2 linked regions of the Xenopus tropicalis genome follow. The protein of the gene in region 1 interacts with the protein of each later gene in a pairwise test. Links are inferred from orthologs where the notes say so. Each region holds a gene or a part of one and is shown in the gene's direction. Other genes may lie near its edges.

The links.
Region 2: the proteins of anxa11 (region 1) and pdcd6 interact in binary tests that used the Homo sapiens proteins (3 or more experiments, as listed by UniProt). The link is inferred for Xenopus tropicalis from reciprocal best matches to the Homo sapiens genes ANXA11 and PDCD6.

What each region holds. Positions count from the first base shown.
Region 1 is NC_030683.2:53,051,391-53,068,060, reverse strand, and holds the end of anxa11 (annexin A11), read left to right. Parts: intron 1-149; coding exon 150-240; intron 241-1,418; coding exon 1,419-1,498; intron 1,499-2,467; coding exon 2,468-2,524; intron 2,525-2,829; coding exon 2,830-2,923; intron 2,924-3,360; coding exon 3,361-3,456; intron 3,457-4,347; coding exon of another isoform or gene 4,348-4,415; exon of another isoform or gene 4,416-5,001; intron 5,002-5,851; coding exon 5,852-5,910; intron 5,911-6,903; coding exon 6,904-7,026; intron 7,027-8,925; coding exon 8,926-8,985; 3' UTR 8,986-9,748; downstream 9,749-16,670. UniProt on the Homo sapiens protein: Binds specifically to calcyclin in a calcium-dependent manner. Required for midbody formation and completion of the terminal phase of cytokinesis.
Region 2 is NC_030682.2:69,347,151-69,364,596, reverse strand, and holds the end of pdcd6 (programmed cell death protein 6), read left to right. Parts: intron 1-5,566; coding exon 5,567-5,611; intron 5,612-8,078; coding exon 8,079-8,237; intron 8,238-8,596; coding exon 8,597-8,706; intron 8,707-10,145; coding exon 10,146-10,244; 3' UTR 10,245-10,977; downstream 10,978-17,446. UniProt on the Homo sapiens protein: Calcium sensor that plays a key role in processes such as endoplasmic reticulum (ER)-Golgi vesicular transport, endosomal biogenesis or membrane repair.

The sequences.
Region 1 (16,670 bases):
TGTTGCATAAAAACCAAAAGCGATGGTAGTGTTTGCTCTTTTCTGTTTCTATTGCTAGTATGTTTTGTCTATATATTCAGGAAGCATGCTTCACTACTTTTCAGCATAATTTGCCTTTAGCAGTACATCTTGAAATTGTGTTTACACAGGGAGCTGGCACAGATGAAGAATGTCTCATTGAGATTCTGGCTTCTAGGAGTAATGCTGCAGTACATGAAATCTGTAATGCATACAAAACAGGTATGGCATGGTGCAAAGTGGGAAAAGGGGGGAAATTGCTCCAAAGCGTATAATGTTAACACATGGGTAAAACTTTTGTCTGCAAAAGCTAGATCAGAAATGGTACTGTGACAACAGTGGCTGATAGTAAGCTATTTATGTAATACCAATGTGATGCACTTTTTTAAAGATCCTGGTCTACATGCATTGTCATTGGGAAGCAAATTGGTTAAAAGGGAACTGAAATCAAGTATGACAGTACTTGCAGACAGTGTTATTCTAAGCACAGTTTGATTTAAACTTTTTTCTAAATATTCGTAGTTTAATACAGCTAGTACCATGTTTTTGATTTGGCAGCTGTGATTCAGAGTTTCTAATGGCCCAAGGGATCATTAAACAGCCAGTGTATCTAATGAAACCATACTCTTTATATTGCTGCCTTTGGCCTCTTGGAATACTTGGAGCTATGTGTTCCCCTATGTAAGTGAGTATGTAAATCAGGTCAGATTATTGCTGATAGGACCCACTATTTAGCAAGTAGGGGGCTTAAAAGCAGACTTGGCCTGGAAGCAAGCAGATGAAACACAAAGCAATACAAAAAAACAATATGATCTTATTGAAAAGCTTATCTGCATCTTTCTTTAACTTCTCATTGCAGCCAAGTGTGCTGCTCTTACTATAGAAATCTCCATTTTGAACTGCTATGCCAGTTCTGTGGGTGTGCATTCGAAGATTTGTATAGCAATACTTAAGAGCAGTGCACTCCAGCAGGCACCTGTAGGAGATGGACCATACTGATCTGCCACCAAACCTGCCACTGCACACCTCAGTTGGGCACTGGCGCCTACAAGGACAAGATGCCCTGCCTCCAAGCCTACCAGGGCCAGGGCCCACCGGGATTTCCCTTGGTGTCCCGGTGAGGCAGGCTGATTCTGGTCAAGTGGATATAATCACATCTTCAATTACCAAGGAATTTACACAATGTTTTATGCACATAATGGAACTTTGATGTGACTTCTAGTATCTTTTTATTTTAAAATAGGGGAACATTATTTTTTTAAATACACAAACAGTCGTGACAAAAGTTCCATCGCTGAACTGTTTCGTCACTAAAAATTGTTTATAAGCATAATTTTACAGGTTATTTGTGACTTTTATGTATTTTAGTTGTATAACATAGAACTGTGCTTTTCATGTAGAATATAAGAAAACTTTGGAACAAGCTATTAAAAGTGACACTTCTGGTCACTTCCTACGGCTGCTGGTTTCACTGGCTCAGGTAGGATTTGTGTCTTCTTTCAATTAATTTTGTGTACCGCATTCTTGGGCCAAAGCTCCTTTTGTGTTCCAGGATTTGGGCAGGGTCCTTATTACATCATAACCAGCTTACAGATGTATAGCAATACTGTTGTAATAAGCATCCTCAGTTTTTAAGCACCATCATTTTTTTACATTTTTGCAGCTTCATTGCCACTGCTTCAGGCTTTGGTGTGCATGTCCTCTTAGGCTAGAATCACACAGGGTGTACGGTAAACTTCTCTAGGTCTGCGTTTTGTTTATGGAATAAATAATGACATGCCAAAAACATGCATTTTTGCAACAATATTCGGCACATGTGTCAAATCTGGCCCTTCAGACTGAATCGGCAGCTTATCTGCACATGTATGGGGCCCTCCAACAGGCCTACCTGACTGATATCTGGCCGGAAATCGGGCTAGACCACATTCACTTGTTAAAGCCATCCTTGCCCAGTGGCTCGTATTTTTGTTGTTGTAATCGAATCGTTTGACCCACCTTAGGTGGGCATATCAGGGAAGAGATCCGCCTCAGGGTCAAAAGAAAGCACAGATCTATGGCAGTTTGCAACAGAGTATTCGCCAGAACATCCAGATTGCTACTCTGGGCCAGGCATTGGCAAAGTATATTATATAGTGACAAGCAGTTGGTACTGATGCCTCTACAATGTTTTATTATGAGAAGCAGTTTGTACTGACACAAGAAAACTGTATACGCTGACAGCATGTTTAAATATTTTATATTTTGATTAAATTCAACTTTGGTTGTTTAAAAAATGTCCAAGTCAAGCTGCACTGCATTTTGGCATTCAAGCAAAAGTAAAAGGGCTTTTGTCAAATTGACAAAATGCAGGGAAAACTGCATTTTTTTTTTCCAGATTTTGATAATTACAACCCAAAATATAATTATAATTTGTATTATATGTACTGATCTATGACTGTCTTCTTTGCAGGGAAATCGAGATGAAAGCAACAACGTAGACATGGCATTAGTCCAACGGGATGTGCAGGTGAGTTACAAAGCATTTGTAGTTATGTTAGGGCCAGGATTATGAAACATGGATGAGGTACTGCATCGGATTGAAAATCACTGCATAGATATGTTAACCTGTATAGTGCATGTATATAATTTTTTAACTTTGCTGTATGAGAAATGCTAGATTTGTTGATAAAGTGTTAGAAATATTAATTATGCAGCCCTGTAAAATGTAACACCATTCTCTGAATTTATTTGAGAAAACGTGATTTCTGTAAAGTAGGTAAAAGAGTAATCACAAGCCAGCCATTTTTCTGCTATACATGTTGTTATGTGCAGGAGCTGTATGCTGCTGGAGAGAATCGTCTGGGGACAGACGAGTCCAAATTTAATGCCATCCTATGTACTCGAAGCAGAGCACACCTTAATGCAGGTAACTAACTTTGTAAATATAGCTGTAGTATGCAATTAATTTGATTAATAAAGTGTTGAACTTTTATTTACTTGTCTAAAGATTTTGACCATTGTGTAATATAAAACAAAAAACTACCATGTACACAAAAGTAATCAAGGAAATATAACCTATTTATTTGGTACGAGAAAGTGTAATCAGCTAAATTAATGCATCAAAGGGATAAACCTTCACTTGATTAGAACCTTAAGCGAATGAAGCCCTGTCAAAATTAGCTAATATTGGGCAGATATTGGTCAGAAGAAACAGATCGGCAGCTTTTATCATCTCGTGTAAGGCCACCTTTATAGTAGGAGGGGCCACCGATTCATTATTACACATAAACTAGGAGATCAAATCTTTAAAATGTAGTTTTGCACATGTTCAAATGTGTGATTTTTACACATTTCTCTCCCCAGTATTTTCTGAATACCAGCGAATGTGTAATCGAGACATTGAGAAAAGCATCTGTCGTGAGATGTCTGGGAACCTTGAAAATGGCATGTTGGCAGTGGGTAAGTTACTTACTATCCCATTCAGTTCACACCATCCTCATTTTTTACAAGCCCTTTTTGTGCTACTCTCAGTAGTTTTCTCCTCACTGGCTAATCTAGGCTCAAATATATTTTGCAAAGTATTTGATTCCGGGACAGTTCAAGAAAACTAAACCTGTTTTAATGCATTTTTTATGGTTCCTTATTTTAGCACACAAACAGTATCTTAGTGAAGCTAGGCACCAGCCAACTAGCCAGTATCTCTGCAGTTACAGTAAAGTAAATAAACTATATAAATGACTACCGATTAAGAGCCTTGTAATCACCTGAAAAAAGGGATTTTTAAGAGATTACCTGGGGTCGCCGCATGTAATGTGTTTTATGCTGAAATTCCGACTAATGCAAAGGGGCAGGTGGTGTCAGGCGCTTCATCACCTATGGGAGAGAAGACTTTCCACCAGGTTATGAATCACTCCATGTTTCAGCACCCTAATATGTTATGAAAGACTACATTTATAAAAATGGTGTTTATTTGTATACCTATGTTGGGGGAAAATTGTATGTGTGGATATATAAGATGAAAAATGCTTCACTGGATAAATGACTAGACACTGAGAAACCTGGCTTCTGCATGCAGGTAATGATTCAGTTTAAGCTCTATGTTGACTTGGGAAAAATAACTAACTTGCACTATATTTGAATAAAATGAATAATACATTTTATGTTCCACAAGCCTGTTTATGATTTGTTGGCGTCTTATGGCCACACTCATTTTATTTCAGTTCAATTCAGGTTTAGCTTTTTACCAATGCAAAGTGTCCAAGTCAAGCTGAATTGCATTTTGTAAATAAGTACTGACTGTTTTTAACACTAATGCTCATTGTTTTTTTCTTGGCCTGGTTTTTTTGAAAGCTCTCAGAAGATGTCTGGTAATCCCCAGATCGCTAACTCCACCCAAGCTCCATTTCATAATCTTATAATGAACTAGTGTGTGACATCATTGCAGTGTTTTTCATGCATGTTTTGTGGATGTACTCATCTTATCTGTGTTACTGAATGAGAGTATTTTCCAAGCTCCATACTATGCTTCACTTCCTAATAACCATGTGTGTAGTGATCAGAGTGCAGTGTTTATTTCTTTAGAAATTCTAACCTGCTAATTGGAGATATTTATTCTTTAGCATCTGTGTATAAAGTATTTTAAGATTTATTTTTTTTAATTTAACATGTATTCCAAACAGTGATGTCACTGAATGACAACTCAGATGTCATAATAAAATGTGTTACTGTGCTAAGTATGCACCAAACTTTAAATATGGAAAATATTACATTTTCTTTTATAAAGTTTTGTTATTTATGGGGCACATATGCACATACTTGCTTTGCAGCAAGGAGTATTATGTTTGCTACATTGTTGCATTATAGTTATTAATAGGCAAACATTATTGTTATTTGTTGTGTAAACAACATATTCTGCAATTCTTTACAGAGATAATACATCAGTCACATCAGTGGAACTTACTCTTAAGGTCCCCATACACTATAAGATCCGCTCGCTTGGCGATGGCGCCAAGTGAGCAGATCTTCACCCGATATCCCCACCTACGGGTGGGCGATATCGGGTAGCAAGTAGCTAAAAAAAAAAATAACCTGCCCTGGGGCCAAACGATCGAATTACATTTGCGGCCATGGGGCAGTCGGTTCGAGGACCGCATCAACGAGCCGATGCGGTCCCCGATCCGACTGGATTTTCTAACCTGGCCGATAGAGATCTGGCCAATTTCAGGCCAGATATCGGTCGGCCAGGCCGCTCGGTTCTGCCCATACACGGGCCTATTAGCTGCCGAATCGGTCCAAGGGACCGATATCGGCAGCTACTATCGGCCCGTGTATGGGGACCTTTACTTGTTTGACATATGGCAAAAGTGCTTGTTCCTGTGCCAGAAAAACATTAATTCTGCAAAGACAACCAATCTATTGCTGCTTGCCCCTAGTAATTACCATACTTTGTGGTGGCGATACACCATAAGATTTGCTTGTTTGGTGAACCCAAATTGACAGCTTAAATCTCCCTGTGCCTTTACATTTGGCATCCCACCCCCATTAATTTAACATTTCCTTCTCCTTTAAACCCTGATCTGAAAAAAAAAAAAAAAAAAAGCGGCACTCATAGTGTTAAACAGCTGGTCATTCGTGTTGTTGCAAACATAATAACATTTTCCAGAATAAGCAAGACTACCTTTCTACCTGTGGGATACATGTGAGTATGTATGTACAGTATGAACTGAATAAGCTGTAGTAAAATTCCATACCCTCTGTATTTTACCTATATGTTTTGGTCAGCCTCAAGCTAAACTTTTTCTTCTAAGTCTGAGCATGGTGTGCTTATATGTTTTACTTTTACTGTTTCTTTTAGTAAAATGCCTAAAAAATACTCCTGCCTTCTTCGCTGAGCGTCTCTACAAATCAATGAAGGTATACGTTACCTTAAGGATTAAAAGTTTGTGAAACTATGCATCTGTATTAAATTGATACCCCCACTGTCAACGGGAATCAAGGATTTGGTTATGCCAAATCCCAACAGCGATACAGTTAGATTGTTATATTACTTGACTCTAATTGGTCAGCAGATCATAAGCAGAGTGATGCAAACAAACTCACAAGACAAGTTATTGCTGTCTATAAAATACTAAAAGTTATTTGGAACATTTAGCAGTGGGGAGGCCAAAAGGTCTCTAGACTGGGTTAGGATTATTTATCAGTTCTAACTGTACAAATAAAAGGGCTCATGTATGTCTGCAAGTGCAGTTCAGTCCCCGCACTTTCCCCACAGTTTCACATAAAAACAATTTGATTGCAGGTATGGAGCTTCCATCACCACCTTCCGACCTGGCAGTAGCACCCTTAGCCCCAATTGCTGCAGTTCAGTTGCACTGAAATAATTGGGTGCAGAACACTGGAAATGACTTTCAGTTTGGGTGAATCAAATGCAGTTGCTGTAGTTACAGCACAGTTGCATCAAGAGCATTTCCACTTGCAGTGACACCAGAATTCTGGAAAAAACACATTGTGGGAAAAGAACATGGTGATTGTTCTTAATATTTGCACTTTGCTCTGTGCACTTGCAGTACATATGCTCTAAAGACTTTGACCAACAACACAAGACATTTTAATATTCTAAAGCTGGCCATACACGCACTGATAATATCGTACGAAACCCCGCAGGATGCTGCTGACAACGGTCTGTCTTTGGGGCTGAATCGCCAGAAGGAGGTAGAAATCCTACTTTTTCTACCTCCTTATCTGCCGTTTCAGCCCTGAACGGTTAGTGGCGGGTTGTACGATCTTTCGTGGGACCGATGGTCGCACGAAAGATCTAAAATCGCCGTGTGTGGCCACCTTAAGGTTTCTAATTTATTGTTTACCAAGTTTAATGACTCTTAAATCTTCTCTGCTTTATTCTCTCAGGGTGCTGGCACAAAGGACAAGACTCTGATCCGCATCATGGTGTCCCGTAGTGAGGTAGACTTGTTGGATATCCGTTCAGAATATAAAAGAATGTATGGAAGATCCCTTTACACAGATATCACGGTAAGGCAGAAGATAGTAGGGATAAACACACTGCAGAAGTAGAGAAGTAGTGACTGAGTTTTTATTGTCACTGTAAGGGCAATGATGCTTCAGGAGATTAGTCACCCACTACCATGGGCGACTAATCTTCAAATGCGGGAAACTCCGAGCTACTTCGGAAAGTAGACGCATATATTTTCCCACCAGCAATTTACATTTTAGCTGGTGGGAAGGAAATGGGATGTTTCATCGCCTGTGGAAGCCAAGATTTATCGCAGGAGACAAAATGTCCTCTGTGTCTTTGCCCTAGCACTTTTAGGGAAAAGGCTTTGTGACTCTGATTCACCCAGAAAATGGAGATTCCTACATTTTCAGGACATAGCCAGCCAAGTTCCTTAAGCCTTATAGAAGCAAGAGACATCAAAGCAAGAGGGAAATTGTTTATATTTATATTATCATGGCAGTCATCAATGTGAGTCTATAAAAACTTTAGGCTTCATATTGTTATAAGGCAAGTGGCACACAGGGCTGTTGTTTGCTTTTTTTTGTGCCTGCATTTTCTTTGATTGTCTCCCCCTTAAAAGTGTATTGACAGGCATTGTGTTAGCCTGTGAGCACACACACAGAGTGGATATTGCACAAAAATGTGTGTAAAGTAAAGTATGCATTTTTTGTGACTTTGAAACATCCATATTCCAAGATGCTATTTTTTCACGGCAGTATAAACCTTAAAGCAGAAGTAAAGTTGTAATCACTGGGGGTGCAAAACTTGCAGCAATCACAATGGGCATGCAGGCACTCGGGAATCTCCACAGGGGTCAAGAAGTTTAGCAGTAGAAAGACTTTATTCAGAATTACATTAAAGCATCTGCATAGACCTTACACATTTCATGCCCTAGGGGCACTTAATCATGGGCCCATGATTAAGTGCGCTTAGGGCTTAGGAGATGTTTTAATGTAATTTTGAATAAAGCCTTTCAACTGTTAAACTTCTATTTTATGCACCCTATGCTGAGGGGTCTGGGGCTGGTGTACCTGGACCACCACTTCGACTTGGTGAGTGATTTGTTAACTGTTGGTCTTTTTGTGCCTTTATTTTTCGCTTTGTGCTTACCTGATACCCCAGGCTGGTGCTACTGTAATAACAAAACTGTCCAGGCTGGGGTACTTCTATGCAAGCACCAAAGAGCAATCTTCTTTTTTCTCTGCACCGGGTGCTCATTCACAGTAGAGTGAAAAGCTGAACTTTAAGCAAAAAGCTAGCTTTTTTAACTCAAATGTGCAAAGATTGGTTCAAAAATGCTTACTCATACTTTTTATGCCAAAATCTGCTCGGTGTCTGCACACAGTGCCTTTAAGTGCATGTTGTTAAGAAAAAGTAGTTGTCCAAGATACAAACTTTAAATGTAATAGTCACCATTTATTTCACTGGTCACCGTACCCCTATGTCTGCAAAAATCATTTAAATGTTATCTAATATTGATGTATGCAGCTTAGTTAGGATCAAGTGCAAGGTACTGTTTTATTATTACACATAAAAAGGAAATCATTTTTAAAAATTAATATAATTTGTATAAAATTGACTCTATGGGACATGGCCTTCCTATAATTTGTAGCTTTCTGAATATCAGGTGTCTGGATAAGGAATTTCATACCAACAAACATATTAAATTAAATTATGAAGCTATATATTCTTGTAAATATGTCTCCTATAGATGCTTAAGCAATTTATTACCCAGAGCAACTGGGGCAACTGTTATTTTAAAAGGGTAACTTTCATGAATGGGGGTGGGTATATTTTTAACAGAAGAGATATATATATATTGAACTATTTACCTTGCACCCGAAATTGAAGTGGAGTGCCATCCTTGGTTTTGTGTATATATATTTTATGACTTTTTTTTTCCCCCCTTCTCACAGGGAGACACGTCTGGTGACTACAGGAAGATTCTGCTGAAACTCTGTGGGGGAAATGACTAAATATTTGTTAACTCTCTTTTACAATCCTTGTTCTTTTTTGTTTTAACTGGGGAATATCAGTGGGTGTATTGACAGTCAGTCAGAATTTAGATTTTTATGGGCATACAACTCCATTCTGGGCTACAGTATAATCCTATGCAATATCGCTGTAGCTAGTCCAGAGTGTAAAATAAAGTGGTTGCAATTCTATTTGCCTAGGGGCTCAGAAACTATGCCAGTAAATTCCACTAGATTTTTCATGTATGTGAACATACATGTACAACTATGAAGTTGGCAAGCGGTGATGTGATGTGGTACCCAATACATTTACAGGGTGAGGAATGGGCTGATTAGTTGCATGAAGTGAACTTGTTAAGAAAAGTGGGGTGCCACTGCAGGAAACTTCAGGAAAGAGTAGGAATTACAAATTTACTGACAATAACATTGCTGGTAAATTTTTAATGTCACCGCTGCCCTATCAGGTGATTTTACAGGCTAGGCCTGTATGTAAAGCACTGCTAGTCAGAAACCCTAGTAGCATAGTGTACAATTCTCATATTATGTCAAACATGGTGTCATTTTACACCACTTTTCATGCCAACTGTTGCTGAATTTGTCTCATTGACTTCAGTGGGTTACATGAGGTCCAGACTAGTGCAAAGCAATTGTTATTTTATAAAGGCAATTAGCTTTTTGTAATGGATTATTTCTGTAATCCAGATGCATGCTGTTTGTTCACGTCTAACAACTGTGCTTAATAAATACACCATTTGTTTTACACAAACTTCAATACATAAAGTTTTTTACACATCTTTATTGATATATATTTATATATCTCCCTATATGTTGCATATAATTCACTTTTTGTACAGCACTGGACAAAATATGTTTATTTTTAAATAGTTCTTTATATAAAGTAAAAAATGAAGTTCCAATATGGTATTTATAGTAGTACAGGTATAGGACCCGTTATCCAGAATGCTCGGGACCAAGGGTATTCCAGATAAGGGGTCTTTACGTAATTTGGATTCCCATACCTTAAGTCTACTAAAAAATCAATAAAACATTAATTAAACCCAATGGGGTTGTTTTGCCTCCAATAAGGAGTATTTCTATCTTAGTTGGGATCAATTAAAAGTTACTGTGTTATTACTACAGAGAAAAAGGAAATCAGTTTTAGAATTCTGAATTATTTGAATAAAATGGAGTCTATGGGAGACGGGCTTTCCATAATTCGGAGCTTTCTGGATAACGGGTTTCTGGATAAGGGATCCCATACCTGTTGTAAAGGACAGATTAATCAAACCCTAAGATGCAAATTGTATTTGGGCTTGTTAAAAAAATCAGTTTCCTCTGGCAGATTGAATTTTAATTCTATTTATCTTTATTATTTTTATTACCTTTCTCACTGATGTTTTTTTTCTGTCATGATTTTGATGGTGTTTTTTATTTCTAAATGACACTGTTAACATAGCAAATAATTCACTCTGCCATTTAAAAAATTATTCTTGAACAAATGTATTTGGTGTGTGGGCAGCCATCTCAGGTCACTCAGGTTCCTGAGTCTGAGCTTTCAGAAAGAGCCAGCGCTACTCATTAAAACTGCTTTCAGATAACCTACTGTATTGTTTCTCCTACTCCCAGATTTTTTGCTGTTGAGTGCTATTCTGATATCTACCACTTACCACAATACAGGTGTCAGGGAGCCGCTGTCTTGCTACCTTTCTATTGTTCTGCTGATCGGCTGCTAGAGGGAAAGGGAGGGGGTAATATGACTCCCAACTTGCAGTGCAGCAGTAAAGTGTGACTGAAGTTTATCAGAGAATAAGTCCCATGTGGAATTTCAAAATTAAATATAAAAAAATCTGCAATGGATTTCAATACAGGATTCTGCTGGAGAAGCTCTAATAATATGTTTAAAAAAAATCATGTTTTTCCATCACAGTATTTCTGAAACCTTCTGAGATCTTCTGAGAGCTGAAACCTTCTGAGATCTTTTCAGACCAACATTGTATGTTTAAGGGCTCTGGCACATGGGGAGATTAGTCGCCCGAGACAAATCTCCCTTTTCGCGGGTGACTAATCTCCCCGAATTGCCATCCCACCGGCGAAAATGTAAATTGCCGGTGGGATGGCATACGCGGCACCGCAATTTCAACAAAATCGCAAAAGTTTCCTCTCAAGAGGGGATTATAGACAGATAGGGGATGTTTTCCATGAAAAGGATCAGTGCACCAGAGGCCACCCCTTTAGATTAGAGGAACGGAGCTTCCATTTGAAGCAGCATAAGTGGTTTTTCACAGTGAGAGCAGTGAGGTTGTGGAATGCCCTTCCTAGTAAAGTTGTAATAACAGATTCTGTTAATGCCTTGTAAACTAGCGGGATCCAGGACAGACACTTTCTTGGCTTTAAGGCAGTTTATTTACACAGGGGTGCCCATTTCAGCGTACAAAACAAATCATAAAAATAAATCCTGCCCTCTGGGCGGTACCTTCACACATTATATTAGTTCCCTTACTAACCTGGGCCCCTTGTGGACTACCAGTGGGAAAACACAAATGTTGGGGTCACCCCTGTACTCACAACACTTCTGGGGGATTAGCTCAGCCTCCTGGTTTTCCTTTCAGCTTCTTAGATCCTCAGTCTCTTGGCAGCTTTCTCAATTCTGGGCTCCCTCTGCCTCTGGCAGTGGCAGGCAGCACCCCCAGCCCCTCTGGGAGTCCTAACACAGAGAGGTATCCTTCCTGCTCTGTGACCTGCTCTGAGAGACTGTCTCGCACCTTTCTATACCATTAAATACCTTTTCCACAGGACAGCCTTCCTGTGGAAAGTAAGCTCCAATAGGTGAGCTGGACTACTGGAATGGATCGCCTGATCCGTTTGTTCCTTCCAGAACCCTATAGCTTTCAGGGCCAGACAGCACAACCTTTTAAACAGAGCAAACCTTCTCCGTTTATCATCCTCTCCCTTAAAGATCACATCTCCCACTATGGAGAACTTGAAGGGAAAACTCACCTTTTCTCTCATTTGTTGGGCCATTCTACCACAGCCTTTAAGAGGGACCTGGATGATTTCTTGAACAAGCATAGTATCCAAGGCTATTGTGATACTGAAATCTACAATTATGGGCTTATTTATCAATTTTTGATTGTGTTAGTTTGTGAATTCGAGTTTGTCTTTCTAAATTGAATAAACTCGCAAATCGAATGGTCGGTTATTTGCAAAATGGTCGGTTATTCAAACAAAACTTCTTTGAATAAAAAACTCTAATATCTCTTTTATCACTTTTAGATGGTAAATTTTTACATCCATGTTTTCGGGTTTTTTTACACTTAATAAATACCAGACATTCGAGTTTTCGAACCAAAACTCGAATTTGACTTTTTTAAGCACCAAAAAACTTTTTTTTCAACCCAACTTAACTATGTATGCTATTTAGAATTTTGCCTTAAAAGTAAGTTGCCCAATGCTTTACATTTACCTATCTCAGCGTTTTTCAACCACTGTTCCGCGGCACACTAGTGTGCCGTGAGATGTTGCCTGGTGTGCCGTAGGTGCGGTCCCCTCTGGGACACCTTCCACTTCCTGGCTCCCTGATGCCCTGAAATCGTCACTGCCTGTGACGTCATCCGGCATTGGATCCAGGAGGGCGGAGCAACCAGAGAGGAGAGGCAGCACTATCCTGCCCTGGCACAACCCGACCGGGGGGAGCAACTGCCCAGGCCCTGCCCCGACAGACCAGATCCACCAGGGGCCAGGCCCATGCACAGCCGCCCTACTCCCCACCGGAGGACAATCCCGGGACACCCCTGGATGCCGCACCCCAAGACAGCCTGACATGTAAGAAAACAATTAATAATAATATATATATAATATAAAATTTTTGTGTGTATAAAAAAAAAAAAAAAAATCAGTGGGGGGGTGGGTTTGTGGAGAAAATTTCACTATTTTGTTTACTTAATATTTCATATTAAAGTAATTATAAAATACTTTCTTTGTATTTATTTGATTCCTATTCAAGAGAATTACTTTATATATAGTCAATATAGGCACAGAGTTACATTTTTTAACATTTTCTAATGGTGGTGTGCCTCGTGATTTTTTTCATGAAACAAGTGTGCCTTTGCCCAAAAAAGGTTGAAAAACACTGACCTATCTGATCCCCCATGTTCCTCTATGAGGGGGCTGCAGTATTTGTGCAGCAGGAGTCTGTTAGCATTAGAAGCTATAACTGGTTACAGGTTAAAAAGGCACAGTCACGCTGGCAATAAAGTCAGGTTTAGGAACTTCAAGTAACACTTACAAAAGCAGGGGTCTATCAAAGGAAAAACAATCAACATTGTTAGGTAACATTTAATGTTCATTAATATTTGAAGAATACTTTGTAGTCTGCAACTGCACAAGGGGTGTTGGAAATGGTTTGCTCTAATGCCCATTACTAAAAAGATACTCTTCTAAATGTAGTGGGACTGTTGTTTCAGTTTACATATGATCATTTTTCTCACAGAATACCTGCAGTATGCCTATTGTGTGCCTGCAGTGCAGTGTGCTTTTTGCTTCTATTTTTCTAGACCCTTCACACAAAGCTTATCTTACAGCAACAGATCCCACAGATGCCCATGTCTTCTCTTGATGTTCAGTGACAATGCCATGCTGAATAGGTTTGGCTTTGCATAGTAGCCCAAAGAGGAAACTTCGGAGAGTAGTCTTGCCGCACTGGCGATTTGCATTTTAGGAAGGAACTAAGAGACTTTCTGTAGCCTGCAGTAGCCAAGATTTAAGTGTGGACATGAAATCGTCCTGTCTGTCATTGCCCTAAGGGATAACAACAAAAAAAGCAAATGGCACTCAGGGCTTCAAACAAGGGAAAAAAACCCTTAAAGTATTTTTATTGCGGAGGTGCACCTCCGCAATAAAAATACTTTAAGGGTTTTTTTCCCTTGTTTGAAGCCCTGAGTGCCATTTGCTTTTTTTGTTGTTGCACCATTTTTGGAGGGTGCCGATCCCTCCAGCAGTGTGCACCGGGCATACAGGTTTGGAGAGCTAGGGTGTGCGGCTAAGGTCTCTGTGGTACCATTGCCCTAAGGGATCTCATAAATGTACATTTACTGTGTTTTGTAATTACACTTTTGGTAGGTGTTCCCTAGAGGAAATACACAATTGAGCCCATAGAATATGCATTAAAGGAGAAGGAAAGATAAAAATCTAAATACAGCCATAAGCACTCACAGAAACACTGCACTGAGTTCTGTCTCAGAAGATTTATTGTGTCTGTTTTCCTGTGCCAGAGACACGCAGCTCTCTCCTCTCTTCCCTCTCCTGTTGCCCCCTCCCTCCCCCCATGGATCTGAGCCAATCTGCAGGAAGCTTCTTCATTGTCTAACTCAGTGCTGTCCAACTTCTACGGTGCCGAGGGCCGGAATTTCTCTAGCATACATGGTGGAGGGCCGCTAATGGAAGCCAGTTTGACCACTCCCCTTTTTGAAACCACACCCACTTCAAACCACACCTATTTTATCACAATGGTGGTAGCACAGCAAAATCCCAAATGCTTGGTCCTTACTGTGGGGATATCAACCATCATTCATATGTGAAAGAATTATGTCATATTAAGATATACCCTTAAATTCCATATGCCTCCTCCTCCTCCCCTGTGGATAGCAGAGCAACCCCCAGTACATAATTACACACCTTTGGGACCATTTAATGGCTATTTCCAACTGCTAACAAACTCCCACAACAAACCCCTGCCAGGTTCACCTCCCACAAGCAGCATAGGGCAAGCAGAGTATGGCATACACAGGCAGCACTCTGCCTGTCCTATGCTGTCTGTGTGTGCCATACTCTGCCTGCCCTACCCTGACTGTGTGTGCCATACTCTGCCTTCCCTACCCTTCCTGTGTGTGCCATACTCTGCCTGCCCTACCCTGATTGTGTGTGCGCCAAACTCTGCCTTCCCTACCCTGACTGTGTGTGCCATGCTATGCCTGCCCTACCCTGACTGTGTGTGCCATACTCTGCCTGCCCTACCCTGACTGTGTGTGCCATACTCTGCCTGCCCTACCCTGACTGTGTGTGCCATACTCTGCCTGCCCTACCCTGACTGTGTGTGCCATACTCTGCCTGCCCTACCCTGACTGTGTGTGCCATACTCTGCCTGCCCTACCCTGACTGTGTGTGCCATACTATGCCTGCCCTACCCTGACTGTGTGTGCCATACTCTGCCTGCCCTACCCTGACTGTGTGTGCCATACTCTGCCTGCCCTACCCTGACTGTGTGTGCCATACTCTGCCTGCCCTACCCTGACTGTGTGTGCTATACTCTGCCTGCCCTACCCTGACTGTGTGTGCCATACTCTGCCTGCCCTACCCTGACTGTGTGTGCCATACTCTGCTTGCCCTACCCTTCCTGTGTGTGCCATACTCTGCCTGCCCTACCCTTCCTGTGTGTGCCATACCCTCCCTGACCTATGCTGCCTGTGTGTGCCATACCCTCCCTGACCTATGCTGCCTGTGTGTGCCATACTCTACCTGCCCTATGCTGGCTGTATGTGCCATACTCTGCCTACAGTACCTATGTCTGAGGTGTGAAGAAGTGAACAATGGGAGTGATTACAGCCTGAGCCTGAGGTGTGAACACTGCAGGGGGTGAACAATGCAGAAACTAAAAGGTGTGAAAAACACAGGGGATTACATATTTAAACAATACAGCCTGATTACAGCCTGAATCTGAGGTGAGAACCATGCAGGGGGCCAGTTAATCTCAGTACTGATACCATTTAATGCTTACTCAAAGGTAAGCCATCAAAGCAGCCAGACAGGTGGGGGGCCACACAGAGGGGGGTCGCGGGCCGCCAGTTGGACAGCACTGGTCTAACTAACTGAGCATGTACACTGGTCTGGGTCTCGGTGCAGGAGAGAGTCATTATCAGAACTTTCTTTACCCAGCTCAGCGTTTTTTCTTCCTGTTTGGCTTCTGATCATCTAAACAGGAGAAATATGGGGAGACTTAAGGGCACTATTGAGAGAACTGAAGGTATGCCTGCAGCTTGAGATTAACTCTTTATTAGCCTTTCCTTCTCCTTTAAGGGCAAAGTCAGACCTGGTGTACAGTCTGCATTTTTTTCACCTGTGTTTTAAAGGAAAAAACGGTATGTGTATAGTAAGCTTAAGCTCTGCCTGTCAGTGCACCTACATGAAGCTTCTGATCAGATCACGTCCACTTCTGCCGGCCTGTTTTTTGTAGGCTGGTGGAGAGAAGTGTACCATACGCCAAGTCTGATTTTGCTTTTGATTTTTGGTAGCCATTTTAATTGGCAAAATACAGTAGAAATGTCCTTTTTATTTTTTCTAGCAAACCAGAAAAAAAATTATGCAAAATTCTGGAAAATGTAAAAATCAGGATAAAGCATTATGCATTATATATTTTTGGGACCACAAAAACAAGTATGTAAAACCAAAGTTGCACTGTAGTACATTTTTTTGTCTGTTGCACTACACTTCCCTAAGCAAAACCATCTGCTGCTGCCTTTGCTTTCCGTGCTATACAACCTAGTGCTTCCCTTTTCCTGATTCCAAAGGGCACCAAAAACTTCAGTTAAGAGACATCAGCTGTGCAGTGGTTACTGTAAGTTTTTTCCTCCAGCCATGCTAATGTGAAATACAGTACGCTAACAAAAGGCACTCTCCATTAAAATGGCAGAGAA
Region 2 (17,446 bases), on another chromosome or scaffold:
CAACTTGCGGCCCGCGGGCCGCATGCGGCCCGCGACCCCCCTCTGTGTGGCCCCCCACCTGTCTGGCTGCTTTGATGGCTTACCTTTGAGCAAGCATTAAATGGTATCAGTACTGTGATTAACTGGCCCCCTGCATGGTTCTCACCTCAGATTCAGGCTGTAATCCCTCTGTATTGTTTAAAAATGTAATCCCCTGTGTTTTTCACACCTTTTAATCTCTGTATTGTCCACCCCCTGCAGTGTTCACACCTCAGGCTCAGGCTGTAATCACTCCCATTGTTCACTTCTTCACACCACAGGTACTGTAGGCAGAGTATGGCACATACAGCCAGCATAGGGCAGGTAGAGTATGGCACACACGGGCAGCATAGGTCAGGGAGGGTATGGCACACACAGGCAGGGTAGGGCAGGCAGAGTATGGCACACACAGGCAGGGTAGGGCAGGCAGAGTATGGCACACACAGTCAGGGTAGGGCAGGCAGAGTATGGCACACACAGGCAGGGTAGGGCAGGCAGAGTATGGCACACAGAGGCAGCATAGGGAAGGCAGAGCATGGCACACACAGACAGCATAGGACAGGCAGAGTGCTGCCTGTGTGTGCCATACTCTGCTTGCCCTATGCTGCTTGTGGGAGGTGAACCTGGCAGGGGTTTGTTGTGGGAGTTTGTTAGCAGTTGGAAATAGCCATTAAATGGTCCCTAAGGTGTGTAATTATGTACTGGGGGTTGCTCTGCTATCCACAGGGGAGGAGGAGGCATATGGAATTTAAGGGTATATCTTAATATGACATAATTCTTTCACATATGAATGACAGTTGATATCCCCACAGTAAGGACCAAGCATTTGGGATTTTGCTGTGCTACCACCATTGTGATAAAATAGGTGTGGTTTGAAGTGGGTGTGGTTTCAAAAAGGGGAGTGGTCAAAACTGGCTTCAATTAGCGGCCCTCCACCATGTATGCTAGAGAAATTCCGGCCCTCGGCACCGTAGAAGTTGGACAGCACTGGCCTAAAGGAACCACACGTGTAAAATAGTATAGAGCATATTTACTTATTGGTGTTATTGCCATTTTTATCTGTAAGGTTTATTAAATAATAATACCCAACAATTTGAATGCATATAGGGATTTAAGTTTGTGTGTATTTTTTCTACTCACAGAAATTATAATCTCTTCCCTTAGGGCTGTGACACATGGGGAGATTAGTCGCCGCGCGTAAATCACTGGTGCGATGGCATACACGGCGGCGCAATTTGCCGAAGATGCCTTGAGTTGCTGGCAATTTACATTCTAGCGGGTGGGATGGCATTTCGGGGAGATTAGTTGCCCACAATAAAGAAGATTTGTCGCATGGCGACTAATCTCCCTGTGTGTCACAGACCTTAGGTCCTAGGCTGGCACTCCACCTTGCAGAAAAATGTACTAGCCAGGGGTACTATCTCAGTGACTACTGTGCTGCAATCTTCTTCCAATTCTTAGGATCTGTGCTGCATCCTGGGGCTGTGTGAATGCTTATCAGACTAAACGTTGCTCTTTTCTCTTGTCAATTCTGATTTTACTGTTCCCAGTAGGGACTGTGTGCTGTGTTTGCTAAAGTGCACAGTCCTATTGGTGCGTATAAAAACCAGGAGGGGTTTCAGATGCACGTATTTATTTATTTTTTCCCGCTCAGCAATTTTAAAAAGCCATTCAATAATTATTGTTTATTGTGCTGGTAATAGTAAATAGTAGAATAAACTGAAAAGAGTTTAAGATATATCCTCCAAAACTAGCCTTATATTGAAATTACTTTTTAAAATAACCAATATCAATAATCTAATTTTTAGAAAGTTTTTAGAAATTTTTTAAAGTATATATGTTTTTAAGTATATATCTGCTAAATTCCAGAGTACTTGTTGTTTCAACTTCACAAGGTGTATTTTTTTTTTAAAAACTTTTTTATTGAAAGTTATTCTGTATTTCCACTGGCTTCCAGTTCTCCATCCACAAATAGTCACTGTTAGAAACCAAAGCAACACAAACACACCCAGGCAGCCAGACAATGGTTGGTTGTGTGTGGGGCACTGCTGCCTGCAAGCTCATGGACAAGCAGGAGATTGTTTAAACAGCTCACTTGCCTCTGCTTATTAAGGGTGCAGAAAATCAGTGGCATATACTGTAAATACTTAATTTTACAAATATGAATGTGAATGTTTTATAGTAATTTAAATGTAGACACTTGAGTTAAAAAGTACATGGCAAATATACATGTTGTTTTTATGTTGAAACATGTAAAAAAAAAAACCATGTAGCTAATTTCCTGTACAGTGATCCCCAAATAAATCATTTGTGAGCAACATGTTGCTCCCAGTGGCCTCAAAGCAGGTGCATATTTTTAAATTCCTGGATTGGAGGCAAATTTTGGTTGCATAAAACCCAATTGTAGTGCCAAACAGAGCCAGTCCACATAAGGGCTACAAAATAGCCAATCACAGCCACCCCCCAATCACTCATGAACATTTTACATGCTTGTGTTGCTCCCCAACTCTTTTTACATTTGAGCGTGGCTCACGGGTAAAAAAAGGTTAGAGGTCCCTGGTCCAGCACATACCAATGTGTTATAGTGAGTAGTTCTACTGTAGATATACCAATGTACAGCTAATGGAATCAATCTTGTATGTGCCTTTGCTTTCCCTTGAAGGGCATCTGGGAGGTATTTAATATGAAAGGACAAACAATATTACTGTAAAAGTAAATACCAAATTCATATCCTAGGATCCAAGGGTCACATAATCCGAAACTACATAAAATGTCTATAGAACTGCAGGCAACATTCTCATGACTATAACCAGACCCTAATTCATTTGCTAGACCACTTCAGAAAAGTTTCTGGATTAACCATTAATCATATTAAATCAGAAGAGTTAATGAGTTAACAAGAGTTAACAAATGGTTTTGAAATTTGATTTCAAATGGCAGGACCATACTATTCACTATTTAGGAGTCAATGGGGCACATTCATTAAAGTACGAGTTCGAATCCTGAAATGGTTAAAATTCGAATTAAATACAATAATTTTTGATGATTGGAAATGTCACAAAAATGCTTCCCAAACAATCGCAATAGTCAGGATAATATAGTAATGGCGTTCTGAAAGTCATAAAATTTCCGTATCAGAACAATCTTAAAAGGTGGGAAAACCTGACTTTGATCCTTCTGTGCATGTTTTTGAAGCCTCCCATAGAACACCGTGGCACTCTGCAGCTTCAGCTTGGCCCAAGGAAAGTCACGATAACGAAGCTTTAATGAATCAGAAACTTTCATACTCGTTGTGACAAATACAATTTTGTCGCATAAAATTTATTGCAGAGTACGAAAAAGTTGCGCAAATTAACGAAAAAATCACAGAAAATACGCAATCAATCGTACTTTGATAAATGTGCCCCAACATGTTTATACAGGGTAGAAGTTGAAGCCTGATTAGAAATAATTATCCTCAACTATGGAAAATGATGAGAGAGCTACAATCTTGGACACAAAGATGGAGTTATCCTGGTTCGGCCGGATTCTTGCCTTTAAAGTGACCCTTGTACCCAAGATGTTATTTCTTTTTAGAACGTTGCCTGTTCATATCCCAGACTCAGACCTAACAGTCATACAGAGAAAGGTATTCCAGTTTAGCTGGGCAGAGAAACATACTCAAATTGCTCAACATATTATGTATAGGGCTAAACATTAAGGGGGCCTAGGAGTTCCAAACTTACGAAATTATTATATTGCCGCACAGTTAGCCCCACTAATACATAAGCAAGCTACCATACCACCAAGTGGGTAAACATATTGAAATCCCAATTATACTGTATCTGATTGATCCCTGTGCATTACTTTGGATTGTAGCTTTTCTTCGCCACAAGAAGCTAGATCCCTTTTTAATTTATGTATTGTCAGTTTGGGACAACTATAAATCTTCGGCTAAACTGGTCTCATCAACCTTTCCAACAGTCCCAATCCTTGGTAACCCCCCTTTTTGCCCCAGGTCTTTCTTACCAGACTTTTCAATTGTGGACAAGTAAGGGCTTCAGGTTTATTTATCACCTTTACTTATGATCGGGCCCTAAAACTTGGCCACAAATTCTAGAAATTAGTAACCCTCCCATAGTTGAAGCCTTTCACTATCAACAGTTATCTCATTTTGTTAATAAATACAATAGAGATAAGTCTGCAGCATCCCCAACTTATTTTGAACATGCTTGTATAAAATACCCTTATTCCAAAGGCCAAATTTCCAATCTTTCTCGCCTCCTTTTGGAAGTTTATCCATGTACAATGTTACCATATATCTCAGCATGGAATAAGGACCTAAATACCACCATCACAGCTGAAACTTGGTTCCAAATTTAGACTTCAACATCTTCATGCTCCTGAAATGTTTCTCTATTAGAAACCTCCTATAAAGTTCTAATGATGTGGTATATGGTCCCATCTTGCCTACACAAAGTAAATCCCCAAATCAGTAAGGCAAGTGTGGGCAATGAAAAACTAAGTTACATACTTACAGATAACTATGAGAAGTTTATTAAAGTCTGGGAACCTTGGTATATTTAATCCTTTCCAAATGCTGGGAATCTGTCGATATTATCTTAATTTTATTTCAAAATAAGGGGCCATGACATTCCATTATAGAAAAGAACATTATGAGGCCTTGTGCTACTTACTTTCCCTCCCCTCCCCCCTACTGTGGGACAACTAATGTATGTATAATTATGAACCTGAGACCTCATAGGCATTAATCTATCATATTCAAACTTTACTGATTAATATTCTGGTATCTGTCAAATTTAATCCTTTAGTTTGTTGTTGCACTTTTCTCCTGTGGCTCTTTTCTATCTCCTTTCCTTCTATTTTCGGATAAATGCTAACCGATACTTGACTGATATTTTAAAATCCGCTGTATAAAAATAAAAACACAAATAAAAATTATTGAAAAGAAAATGTATATAGCACCAACATGTTTTCTCCGCTCTTTTTCCTTGCATAAGAAGTGAATCAAAGTGGTTGCATAATCATTGTCATTTGACATAAGTGAATGCTAATATTGCATTTATATTTATGGTAAAACTGGTTTAGGTGGGGTGTCAGAAACTCTTGTGGTTTGTGCAAGTTGCAACGGAACCCAAAACATATTACTGTTTATCAGGTTTATTAGGTATAGGATCTTTTATCTGGAATGCTTAGAACCTAGGCTTTTCTGGGGTTATTTTCATAATTTGGATCACCATACCTTACGTCTGCTAAAAAATCATTTAAACATTAACTAAACCCAATAGGTTTTGCCTCAAATAAGGATTAATACTTAATAAGGGTACTGTTTTATTACAGAGATAAAGGAAAACATTTAAAAAAATTGTATTTGCTTAAAATGGACTTCTAATACAGGATCCCAAACATGTACTGCAAAAAAACTACTAAATGAATTTACTTCTTGTTGCATCTTACAGAGTAATATTGATTATTAGCTTTCTTGAACATAACTTGGCACTTGTCCATTATAAAGTCAAACTATTAATGACACTTTGTTTTATTTCAGGAACATGGACACCTTTTAATCCGGCAACCGTGAATTCTATCATATGTAAGTTCTGTTTATTGGAACTGTTGCCTATTTGCAGTAAAGCCTTGGAGGCACAACAACATGTTTCCTGGCAACTAGACCCAGTGTTCTCCATAGGATAGTTTGTGTTTGTTTGTTTTTTAAGAACCTTGTTACTCGCCTTCTGTATAATTGTCACCTTGTAGCACTGGTGTCCAAACTGGGTAATGGGTATTGTCTCAGGACACCAACACAGCAGTGCAGGATCAAATTCCTTACCCAAGTACTGAACCACCTGTTCCTGAATTCACATTCTGAATAACAAAAAGTAATTTATCTAGTGCACTGATTGTTTAACCCTTTCACTGCCAGCCATTTTAGACCAAAGTGGAAGTTCTACTGCCAGACCGTTTTTGAACATTTTGCACTGTTGCCCAGGAAAACAATGTATTGTTTTTTTCAGGACAACCTAAGCTTTTAAAATATGGTAAAATTTTGGTGTAATTCCAAATCTGTAACAAGATATAGGCTTCTAAATGTCTAAAAATTTTTTAAAAAAATCACATTTTCCATAATATAAACACACATACCAGAAACAAAAATTATTTTATGCACAAAAATACAACTGATTTGGAAAGTCCCATGTCTCCTGAACGTGCCAATACCAAATATATATAGTTTTATGAAGATTTCTCACTTGTATAGGTCAAAAACTCCCTGCAGTACACTATTTCCAAAGCACTGCTTCAGAAAGCTGCATACTTTAGATTTCAAGGCCAAAAAATCCACTAACAGAAGGTTTATCCCAGAAAATTACACATTTCTGGAAAGAACCTATTCTGGGGAATCCAGAATAGGCACAATTGTCTGTCTACTGCAAACTATCAAGTGGCAATGCTTTCCTAAATTTATTGGTTTTTATCAAAATTTGTGAAATTTAAAAAAAATCACTTCAAAGCTTCCAGTCTATAGTATCTTATCTCCTACAGGTCATAAAGTAACCAAATAAAACACCCTAAATATGAACGCCAGGGGTCCACTGAACAGTGGATTGTGATGCACAATATGTATAGGTTCATCAAAGTATGTGGCATGTAGGGGCCCCAATGGGAACATACCCCCATATGATCTGTCATTTCAGCTCCTGCAAAATCAACACATTTACATCCTTCATATGGGATATTGGTACAAAAAAGTACACTCACCCCAGAAAGCCATATATTTTTGGAAATTACACATTCCCCTGAATCTCTAATGGGTACACATTTCTTTTAACTCCAAAGTACCAAGCCGTAAAGCTTTCCTGTTTGCCGATTTTTTTGACATTTCAGAAATTGCCTAAAAATGTTGCAATTTGCATTTATCTCACACAATTTCTTGCATACAGAGGAAAATCACCCCAAATAGGAACCTAAGGTCTACTGAACAGTTTGATGCCCAATATGTATAGATATACCAAAGTCTGTGGTATGTACTGACCCCAAAATGAAAATAGCGCATAAGGATTTCTTGCCGGCCAACTCAGCTTTTGCATACAGAGCCCCCTGACAGCATATTATGTGCCGTAACACATAACTATACAGAAAAACCCAGAAAACCATATAGTTTTTGAAAGTACACATTCTGACAAATCCAACATGGGTAAAGAATCCTTTCTACACCAAAGTACCAATCTGCAAAGCTTTCCTAAAGTTATTGGTTTTTATGACATTTCAGAAAATCGCCTAAAAATGTTGCAATTTGCTGCATGTATCGCACACAATTTCTTGCGTACTAAGGCAAGTCACCCCAATTAGGAACACCTAAGGTCTACTGAAAAGTTTGATGCCCAATATGTATAGATATACCAAAGTCTGCTGTATGTACTGACCCCAAAATGAAAATATACAGTTTTTAGGGAAAAGAAACTAAAAAAAAAAAAAAAAAGTGTTTGTACATGTGTAAAAGTTGTGTGACAGTGTGTAAGTGTGTACATTAGTGTATATAAGTGTGTAAAATGAAAAAAAAACAAACAAAAAAACTGCAAAATTTTCTGCTGTAAGTGTGTGTGAGTGTGTGTTAGTGCAAAAAAACCCACCTTACCTGTCCTGAAGCAGGGATCACAGTCCTCCTGCTGCAGTCTTCATCCGGGTCAGTGCTTGGGGGGGCGAACAGGAAGAAGTGAAGACTAAGCAGCAGAGGCGATGCGATCGCGTCTGCTGCTTGGAGGTCGGCCCTGCGACGATCGCGTTGCAGGGCCGGTGTGACAGCCCCCCTGGCTCGTTGCCCAGGGGGTTGTCATCGCAAAAAAAATGTGCCGCTTCTGCAGAGAGTACCTTTATCTGCCAAACAACGTACGGCACACGTTGTTGGCAGATAAAGCCTTTTACTGCAACAACGTACGCCAATGTTGTTGGCAGTGAAAGGATTAATAGTTAATATCATGACAGATAATTATATGATGCAGATAATTATCTGATTGTAAATCCACTGCAGTTTTATTTTTAATTTGTGTTTGTCGTTATTTCAGCCATGTTTGACAGGGACCACAAGGGCGGCGTGAACTTTAATGAATTTTCTGGCGTCTGGAAGTACATAACAGACTGGCAGAACATATTCCGAACATATGACCGAGACAATTCTGGGTTGATCGATAAAAATGAACTAAAGCAAGCTCTGTCAGGTTTTGGTAATTTTTTTACTCTCTCTCTACTTTTAAAGTTCAATTTGTATGTACTGTGAGATTACCTTTCTGAATTAACCAGGCTTAGTGGGTTAAAAGAAAATATAATTCCACACAATTACTGTTACAACATAAAAATTTTTACTTGCCAGTGTGCTGTACTTTTAACCAGTATAGGTGGCAGATTTCCTCTGTGCATGATCCTGATTACTACTGGCTTAGTGTATAACTTCGTAATGGCTCTTAAACACAAACGTGGGTCCTTAAAAAGTAATTTCATCTTCCTTTCTGACTTGGTGTGTCCCCCCGAGCACTTACAACTGAAATTGCATATAACACCATAATTAGCTGTTTCATTTGTTTAGGTTATCGTCTCTCAGATCAATTTTATGATGTACTCATAAGAAAATTCGATAGGCAAAGGAGAGGGCAAGTTGCCTTTGATGACTTCATTCAGTGCTGCATTGTCCTGCAGGTACAAATATCAAAGTTGTTTTATATCATGTTATCCTTTGCGCCTGAAAGGCTCGAGTAAACACATAAGGTACTAACTGAGCATTGAAGTTTCCAGCTGTTCATTTGCTTAGAATTGCATCCACTGCATTGTGGGTTACGTAGTAATTCTGTCCTGCCCATCCTGTCGCAGGACTGAGCTGATTGAGAGTAGTTAAAGCCAAGTATTTCCTGTTAAGCTGTTTTGATTTTTCTTGAAATAAGAGCCACAGTTTCAATCCTCAATGGTTTAGGCAAAGTAAGGTCCCAGTGTGGCTGCTCAAGGAAATCAAGGGCCTGTGCAGTGAAATGCAAAGAAAACTGCTATGTCTTCATTTTTAAGTCAGGCAAGAAAGAACAGAATTCATATTACATTACATTAACATTTATTTATAAAGCGCCAACATATTCCACAGCGCTGTACAATAAGTGGGTTACATACATTGGACATACAGAGTAACATATAGAGCAATTAATAACCGATACAAGAGGTGGAGAGGGCCCTGCCCAAAAGAGCTTACAATCTACAAGAGAGCTTACAATCTACTATGTATCTAAGTACATTTCTGCAGTGGTCTGTACTATATTACTATTAAATTAATGTTCAATTTTAGCTAAATTGAAAGACTTCAATATCTAAATTCAGAATTTAATGCTACAACACACATTCTAATTTTTGTAATGATTGCTTTGGCACTTGGCAGGACTGCTTCCATGTGTTTCAGCAATATTTATTTTAGTATTAAAGGACACCTATCTAAACATGATTCCTCCCCCCCTCCTCCACGGTGGTGCCAGCTTAGACAGCCTGCACTCTGGGACAGGTGCTTCTTGTCTTGGGCAGTTCATGTGATGTGAAAGATCATGTGATGTGTAACATCAGGTGAATCTCCTGTACACAGTAGGTGTGCAGCTTTTCTGTAATGTTCTTTTAAAGGAGAAGGAAATGCTAATATAGTGTTAATCTCAAACTACAGACATACCTTTAGTTCTCTCAATAGTGCCTCTAAGTCTCCCCATATTTCCCCTTTTTAGATGATCAAAAGCCTCGTAGGAAAAAAAATGGTGAGCGCTGTAAACAAAATTCCCATAATGCCATGTTCCTGCACCCAAGACCAAGACCCCTGCACATGTGCAATTTGCAAGACTATGAGGAAGCTCTCAGCTGTATGGCTCAAGATCACACATTCCTAAGGGGGGCGTAATTCTTAGCATTCTTATGGGAGGTGGGACCAGGAGAGATACAGACCTTTTTGATAAAGCTTACTTAGTTTTTACCTTTCCTTCTCCTTTAAGAACTGATTGGTACATGTAAATTATGAGTGAATAAAGCCATACTTTTTGTAATAAGAGTTCCATAACGACTTGTTTTGTGAGACATCTGCAGTAATGATATTAATTCTAATTTTTATTTCTCTATAGAGACTGACTGATGTTTTCAGGAGGTATGACACGGACCAAGATGGCTGGATACAAGTATCTTACGAGCAATATCTTACAATGATCTTTAGTGTTGTATGATGCCAACAATAACACTGACCCATTCCAGTAAAGACTGGAGTTGCCAATTTGTATTACAGTACAACACTTTTCTGGTATCATCTGCTATTACCAACCCCCCTCTACATTTTTGGACAATTCAAAACTGTATATAGGGATGGCTTTACTTACTTTCTGAAACATTATATTATGCCATATTGTTATTTACTGGACACTCATTATTATAACTAGGGATGTACCAAGTCCATTATATTTGGGTTCAGCCGAACCCCGAATCCTTTGTGAAAGATTCGGCCGAATACTGAACCAAATCCTAATTTTCATATGCAAATAAGGAAATTGAAGGGCTAAGTAGAAGTATGCGCTTATTTTTTTTTACTTCTGTGTTGACGTAACCAAAAGTCACTTGATTATAAGGATTCGGTACAGGCAGACACTTGGATTTGGATGCATCTGAATCCTGCTGAAAAAGACAAAATTTTCGCCGAATCCCAAACTTAATTCTGGATTTGTGCGTCCCTGATTTTATAACATGTTTTCTCAATGTGCCAGGGAGCTCAGTATACTTAGTTTTATTAAGCTTTTTTTAACTGAATGAAGTGCCATACAGTAAATCCTTATGCTTAATCTCAGCTAGGCTGGATATGATTATATTACCCTTGTACTGAAATTTGCACAATAATTTAGCTACCCTAAAATGTATAAAGTTTAACAGGAGCTAAACAATAAAAACAGTTACAGATAGCCAATTGAATTGTTTTGGGAAAAATGTATTTATTTTTTTAAATATTTTTGGTAGGTCTTCCAAACAAGCTAAACCAGGTATGTCCTAACAATGGCTTACTTAGGAAAGCTGCAATTGTACTTGGAGGTGTGTTTTATGATAAGCTTGCCTAAGCAAAGTTTCACACATCTCTCAATATGGTTCAGTGGTTTGCTTTGGAAACAGGAACATCTTTATTGTTGTTTACAAACAATATGTGACATAGTCCAATACTTTTGATTTTCTTTTATTGGAACTGTCGAGACTGTCATCATTCGCTTTCATTATGTGGAAAAAATGTAGTCTTCCAGAATTTAGTACCATGTATTAATGACAGCATGGCTTTGTAAGAGAGCAGCTCCTCAGTATAGTTAATATGATCATTTGTCCCTGTGATATTTTGCTTAAACAGATGAAAGAGCTGCTACCTCCCCTATTCCCCCCTCCCCTCACAAAAATGCACCTTTCATATTGTTGTTTTTAGATCAGTACACAAACCAGTAGTATAAGATTTTGCCAATACTGATAACCGGTTCCTAAGGTGGCCTTGTAAACTAGTAATGTCTGTAGTGCCTAAAGTATGTCACTGATTGACTAGCTAGGAAAATGACTCAAAAGGGCATTTACTAATGCATCCACCAAATGTTTTCTTTTATGTTTAACTGGAATATAAACATCTACTTTTCTTTTGCACTCTTTGTTTGTTCATCTTCAGCAGTGGAAGAATCAACCTGCAGTCATTAGATTGTCGCCAACTCAAACTACTTAGGGGAAAAATAAGGGAACTTCAATTTTCTTGAAATATCCTAGGGGCTAAAACTCACTGACGGGGCATAAAAGCTCATCCAAAGTAGTAGCTCATGAGATCCCAATAACAGACTGCTTTTGCCCTTATCAGTGTAGTGCAGGGTTTTCTGATAGACATGTATGCAAGGCCAGAGAAGGGGTTCCACATGTACTGTATTTAGTGTAAATAAACTACGAGATGGAATAGAAACAGTAGCATATGTGGAATGCAGCTGTATATGAAACACAGCCAATTGTTTTTTACCCTAAGGAGCAGATTTAGGATTGCTGAACATAAATCAGCCCCTTAGAGTAAAATTTATGCTTCATAGGTACAAGTCTAAAAAATTAAAAAGGTTCTAGTGGAATGATTTATAATCCACTGTATCAAGAAAAAACACATTATGTTTTTGTACTTTATCTAATAAAACAAACTTATGACAATTTATAACTTCTTCTAAAATAAGTACTAACCAGTTTTTAAAGGTATTTACACTTGCTCCTTTTGTTCTACCTTTTTACATAGGAGGACAGATGTCTAGGCATTTACTTTTAACCCCAATTTTTGGATTAGCTATACATTTACTATATTGCTGCAGAAAGAAATGCCGGTGTATTAAGAGGCAACACGATGAACAATCTTAAAGGGGAAGGAAAGTAATTTTTCTGCCAATATATTAGCCCCATAGTGCCACCTAGAAAGCTAAATGTATTCTGCAGAAAGCTTTACCATACCTGTGTAAAGAGCCCTAGAAGCTCCTTCCATTTGTTTAAGACTGCAGCTGAAATTGTAGCCACAGTAGCTTGCTGCTGCAGCTCTAGCCCTTGGTAGCTCAGATCACACATTCTGATGGGACGGGGAAGTGAATTCTTATGGGAGGGGGTTTGAGCAAGAGAAGAGAGAGAGAGAGGAAGAAATTCTGTGTTTGTTTGATAGAGGACTCAGTGCAGATTTTCTGTGAGTGCTTATGGCTGTATTTACATAGGCCTTTCTGATAAAGCTTACTTAGTTTTTACCTTTCCTTCACCTTTAAACAATTCAACTTTTTTGGGTCCCAACCAAAAGGTTAAATTGGTTGTTCATCTGTTGATGAATACCAATTGAAAAGTTGTTTAGTACTGGCCATTCTATAACATACTAAAAGTTAACTTAAAGGTAAACCACCCCTTTAACATGCAAGCATTTGAAAGCACATCAATTCAGTTCAGTGCTGAACAAATTAAATACCTATTTTCTTATATTCAGAAAATGCACACAATGTAGAATCTTGCTTTTGAATGACTGCTGTAGAATATGACTGTGCTAAAACACGTATCTGATCATCATGGAGTAAACCAGGCATAAAAAATAGAATCAACTTAATGCATTTAGGGTCACTCAAAGCACCTAAACACACACACAAAAACATTCATCTATGTGTAACAACTATTAATGAAATCTGCAGCCGTAACACAAGGGATGTAATTACACTTATACTTCATGTAATGACTTGCACAACTCTTCAATGTTGGTCTCATAACACTCACTCTACAAAAATTATAAGGATCATGGAAGAAATTTTAAGGTTTTACTGCTGGAGGTTAGCGAGCGTTTGACAGTCAACCGCAACCGCATCAGACTTTCCGTTCATCAAGTCAGGTTAAAAGATTTTGGTTGGGCATTGCTGAAGGCACCTGAGCAAAATCTACATTTAGGGCTGAATTGGCAGGTGGAGGTTGAATTTCTATTGTTTCTACCTCCATATCTGACGATTCAGCCCTGAACGTCAGCGGGGGAAACAAATGATGGACGCAGGAAAGATCATAATTGCTTTGTGTATGGCCACCTTTATGCTCAGTGTTGAGGTGGCTATATACAGGCTGATAAAAGCTGCTGACAGACTGTGTATGTGTCTTCCTGACCAATATTTGGCCAAAAATCAGGCAGGTTTACAAATTGCCATGGCGAGGAATCATCAGCTCATTTAATGCAGCCTTCGCCCTGACAGATAAATAACTCAGCCCAATATTGCCGACCTCAAGGTGGGCATATGGGTAAAAGATCCACTTGTTTCGAGACTTTGCCTAATGAGTGGAATCTTTACATTTATGGCCAGCTTTACTTTATTCTTGTGACCATTCAGAAGGTTTTGTATTAGTGATATATAAAAGTAATATCTTGTTTTTCAAGCTTCACCTAAAAGCAGTTCATTATTCAGGTAATCACCCTGACACATTCCAAATCTTCTGGTACATAAGGAGGTTAGCTATTGTTGCAGGCTAGAAAAACAAAAAGGCATGAACTTCTACTCAGGCAATTTGGCACACATAAAGCTTCCCCATCAGAAGGCTCCACAGCATGTTACTTCCCCTGAAATGGACTGCATTTTGCAGGTTACAGCAGGTACAGAGCACTTTAGAAAAACAGTTCACCTGCTGGGACTGCTTGTATAATCCATTGTTGCCAATCTAACATGAACCTGATACTTTAATAAAGCTACATTCCTTGCTCAGAGTTGCATTAGTGCAAATGGTAATATTGTGTAAGGGCTAACTGCTTTAGGTAACTAAACTGGCTTGGCTATTGCCTTGTTAGCTACAGAATTCCTTACACACATCTGTACTTTCTGCAAAAACAAAATGTTTAGTCTTAACAGGGAATGGCCATGGGACATTCTATAGAAGTTTATTTAAATAAACATTTGCAACACTCAGCAGCATGGGTATCTGGTATCCGCATGTGAAATGTCTTAACAAACAATGTTCTTACTTAAACTGTGATGTTTTAGAACCAAATATTACATCTTATCTAAGGTACAATGAAGCTAAATAAATATTTGTAAAAAAAGAAAAAAATCTCTGTCCAGTTAATGTGTACTTGTTAGAGCAAGGTCCCCGTCATCTTCTCAGAGACAGGTATGGAATATATCCAGAAACCTGTTATTCAAAAAGCTTCAAAATACAGAGCCGCAGTGTCCTGGCAAGTCAAAATATTTTTTCATCCACATAATCTTGGGTAGAGGCAAAACCCTCCTAAATATGAATGCAATAATGGATTCTCAAAATAGTTTGGTTCTCATTATGCATATGCTTAACACAAGGTCTGTACCAACTGAAATTACCAGCAACTCAACATAGAAAAGGTTATTTTTTCTGCATTCTGAATTGCTGCCCATTTCAGATGCTATGTATTCATGTAGGACAGGTAAAAAACATTTTCAAACATTCAATTAAGGAAGAAAGAAAGAAGATCAAAACACTGCACCACCCACAGCTGTATTAGTTTGTAGACTCAGACCAAGTTTTTTGATCATGCACACCAGCATGCACTCATCATTTTTTGTTTAGGCTAATGCCAGATGAGGCGTAGGGCTGATATTTTCGGATTGCATTCTCTCACGTTTTTATGCATATTTTGGCTACATGTGCCTTCACCCGAGCGTCTCATTCATTCGGTGCAGACACATTTAGGAGACGTAGGGAGGAATTTTCAGCAAGCGCTTTTCCTCTTGCCGAAAATATCCGCCCTACGCCTCGTCTGGTATGAGCCTTAGTGTTGATGCCCCATTTATATCTTCAATTTGGCATTTTCAAACATTACAGGTTCACTCAAACATATCTGTAAGATTTGGTAGAGAAAAAAAAGATTATTTTTTTTTTTTTTATCTCACAAAAAAAAGGTTAAGGACACACTGAAATTAAATGACTTTTAATTATATCCTCTCACAACATAATTGATGAAAAATGTAATCAATTAAATATAATTCTTCACTTTTATTGCATCTTTATTCTGTAAAACAGGTAAAGGGAGCCTGTGGCCTAAATCAAGTCAAACAAATATCTAAGAATTCACAGTTCCTCTGCCAACATAATGACACTTTGGCACATCTGCGCGTCAAGGATGGTAACAGCCATGGGTTTGTCTAGTTACAGTGGTTCTCAACCTTATTAATGCCGCAACAAATATGTGTATTCCGATGGTCTTAGGCGACCCCTGTGAAAGGGCTGTTAGACCCCCAAAGGGGTCCTGACCCACAGGTAGAGAACCGCTGGTCTAGTATAAATAAATCTAGAGCAACTGGACTTGCTGAGTAATCATTGACATTTCACTCTGAGCAGCTTCTTCAGTTCAATAGAAACTCTTCCATTGATCCAATAACATTGTAACTCTTCAGAGAGGTGATACCTGAAACTCACAGTTGTGAATGCTGTTGTGTTACTGTGATAGGATTACAAAGTATCATGCAACTAATAGAGACAGGTGTTACTTGCAAGAGGGGATGAATGGATGTGAGAAGTGCAATTGGCGCCTAAACTGCTGGTGTGAAACATTGATTGGTTTCTGGGATATGCATAGTTTTTACTTACTAATCACTGCTTCCTCGCCCAAGATCTAAATATACAATGTGTGCAAAGTATCTTGCCATTATGTTAATACATTCCTCAAACTGTGTGTCTTAATTTCATATTACATACAATAGAGGTTTCTTTTTCTTAATTTTTCTTTCTAGTTCAGGACTTTTTGTGAAGCCATACTTAGCCCCAGTAATCAACACTGCTGTGTCCCTTTTAGCATCGGTGCTTGGCTTTTAATGTTGCATATTGTACCATCATGCCGCATACTAACTCGCTTCCTGCGCAGCTTCAACGTTAAGTAAAACTTGCTTCAGGGTCTTTGTGCCCCACTTGAGACAAGACGCTGGGGTCAGCAGGTTTCAAACCAGCTTCTGGTCATCTGGATACAAAGCTTTGTATGTTTTCATCCACCACCTGTAACTGGCACTGTGCTACCTCTTATTGGAAACTGGAACTTTCGGCTTTGTGCTGACTGAAGGCGCTGAGAAAAGTAGGGGGAAAAGATAAGATTTTAGAAAACGTAGTGAATACTGGAAACTTTACTGTATATACACCCTACCTTTAAACAGAACCAGCAACACATGTTTTGACACTTTATCTGGCCATCATTTTTTTTTCTCAGTGTTTTTTTTAATGGTTTGTAAGCAAGCTTATGTACTATCATTAAAATTCAGAATTCCAGCTTACCATTCTATAGTAAAATTGGTAGACATCTTGGTTAATGTAAGGCCAGCTTTGCAAGCCAGCCAGAAGGAAAGCTATGTACAACATAGTGGTTTTAGTACTGAGGTAGTTTTAATGGAGATGCTACTTAACTGGATACATATTGACTAAAGGTACCTATACAGAGCTTGTGGCAAGCCAGGATAAATGTGCTGATGTACACAGAAAAGCATATAACAGCCCCATGACAGGGTTAAACAACTGAATTTTAATACAACACAATATACTGTTAATGGGACATAATAAATTATTGATTTTGAAAACACAAGGGGCACATTTACTAAAATTCTAATTTTTTCTGGGCTTAAAACATGATTCAGAGTAGTCACGATAATTTTTGAAGTTCTAAAATGTCTTGACAATGCTTTTATAGTTCATATAAAAATATCGCAATTGCGCAATGCCATATCTGGCTTTGGAAGCCTTCCATAGGACTCAATGGCACTCGACAGATCAAACCTGGCGAAAAAATAGTCCAGGGGAAAGTGTAACAAAATGTTCATATTCTTTGTGCAAAGTCCGATTTTTTTTGTGGAAATTTACCAAAAAACTCATGGAATTTTAACGAACTTTTCACATACATTCCGAAATGTTCTATAAGTTAGAAAAAATACCA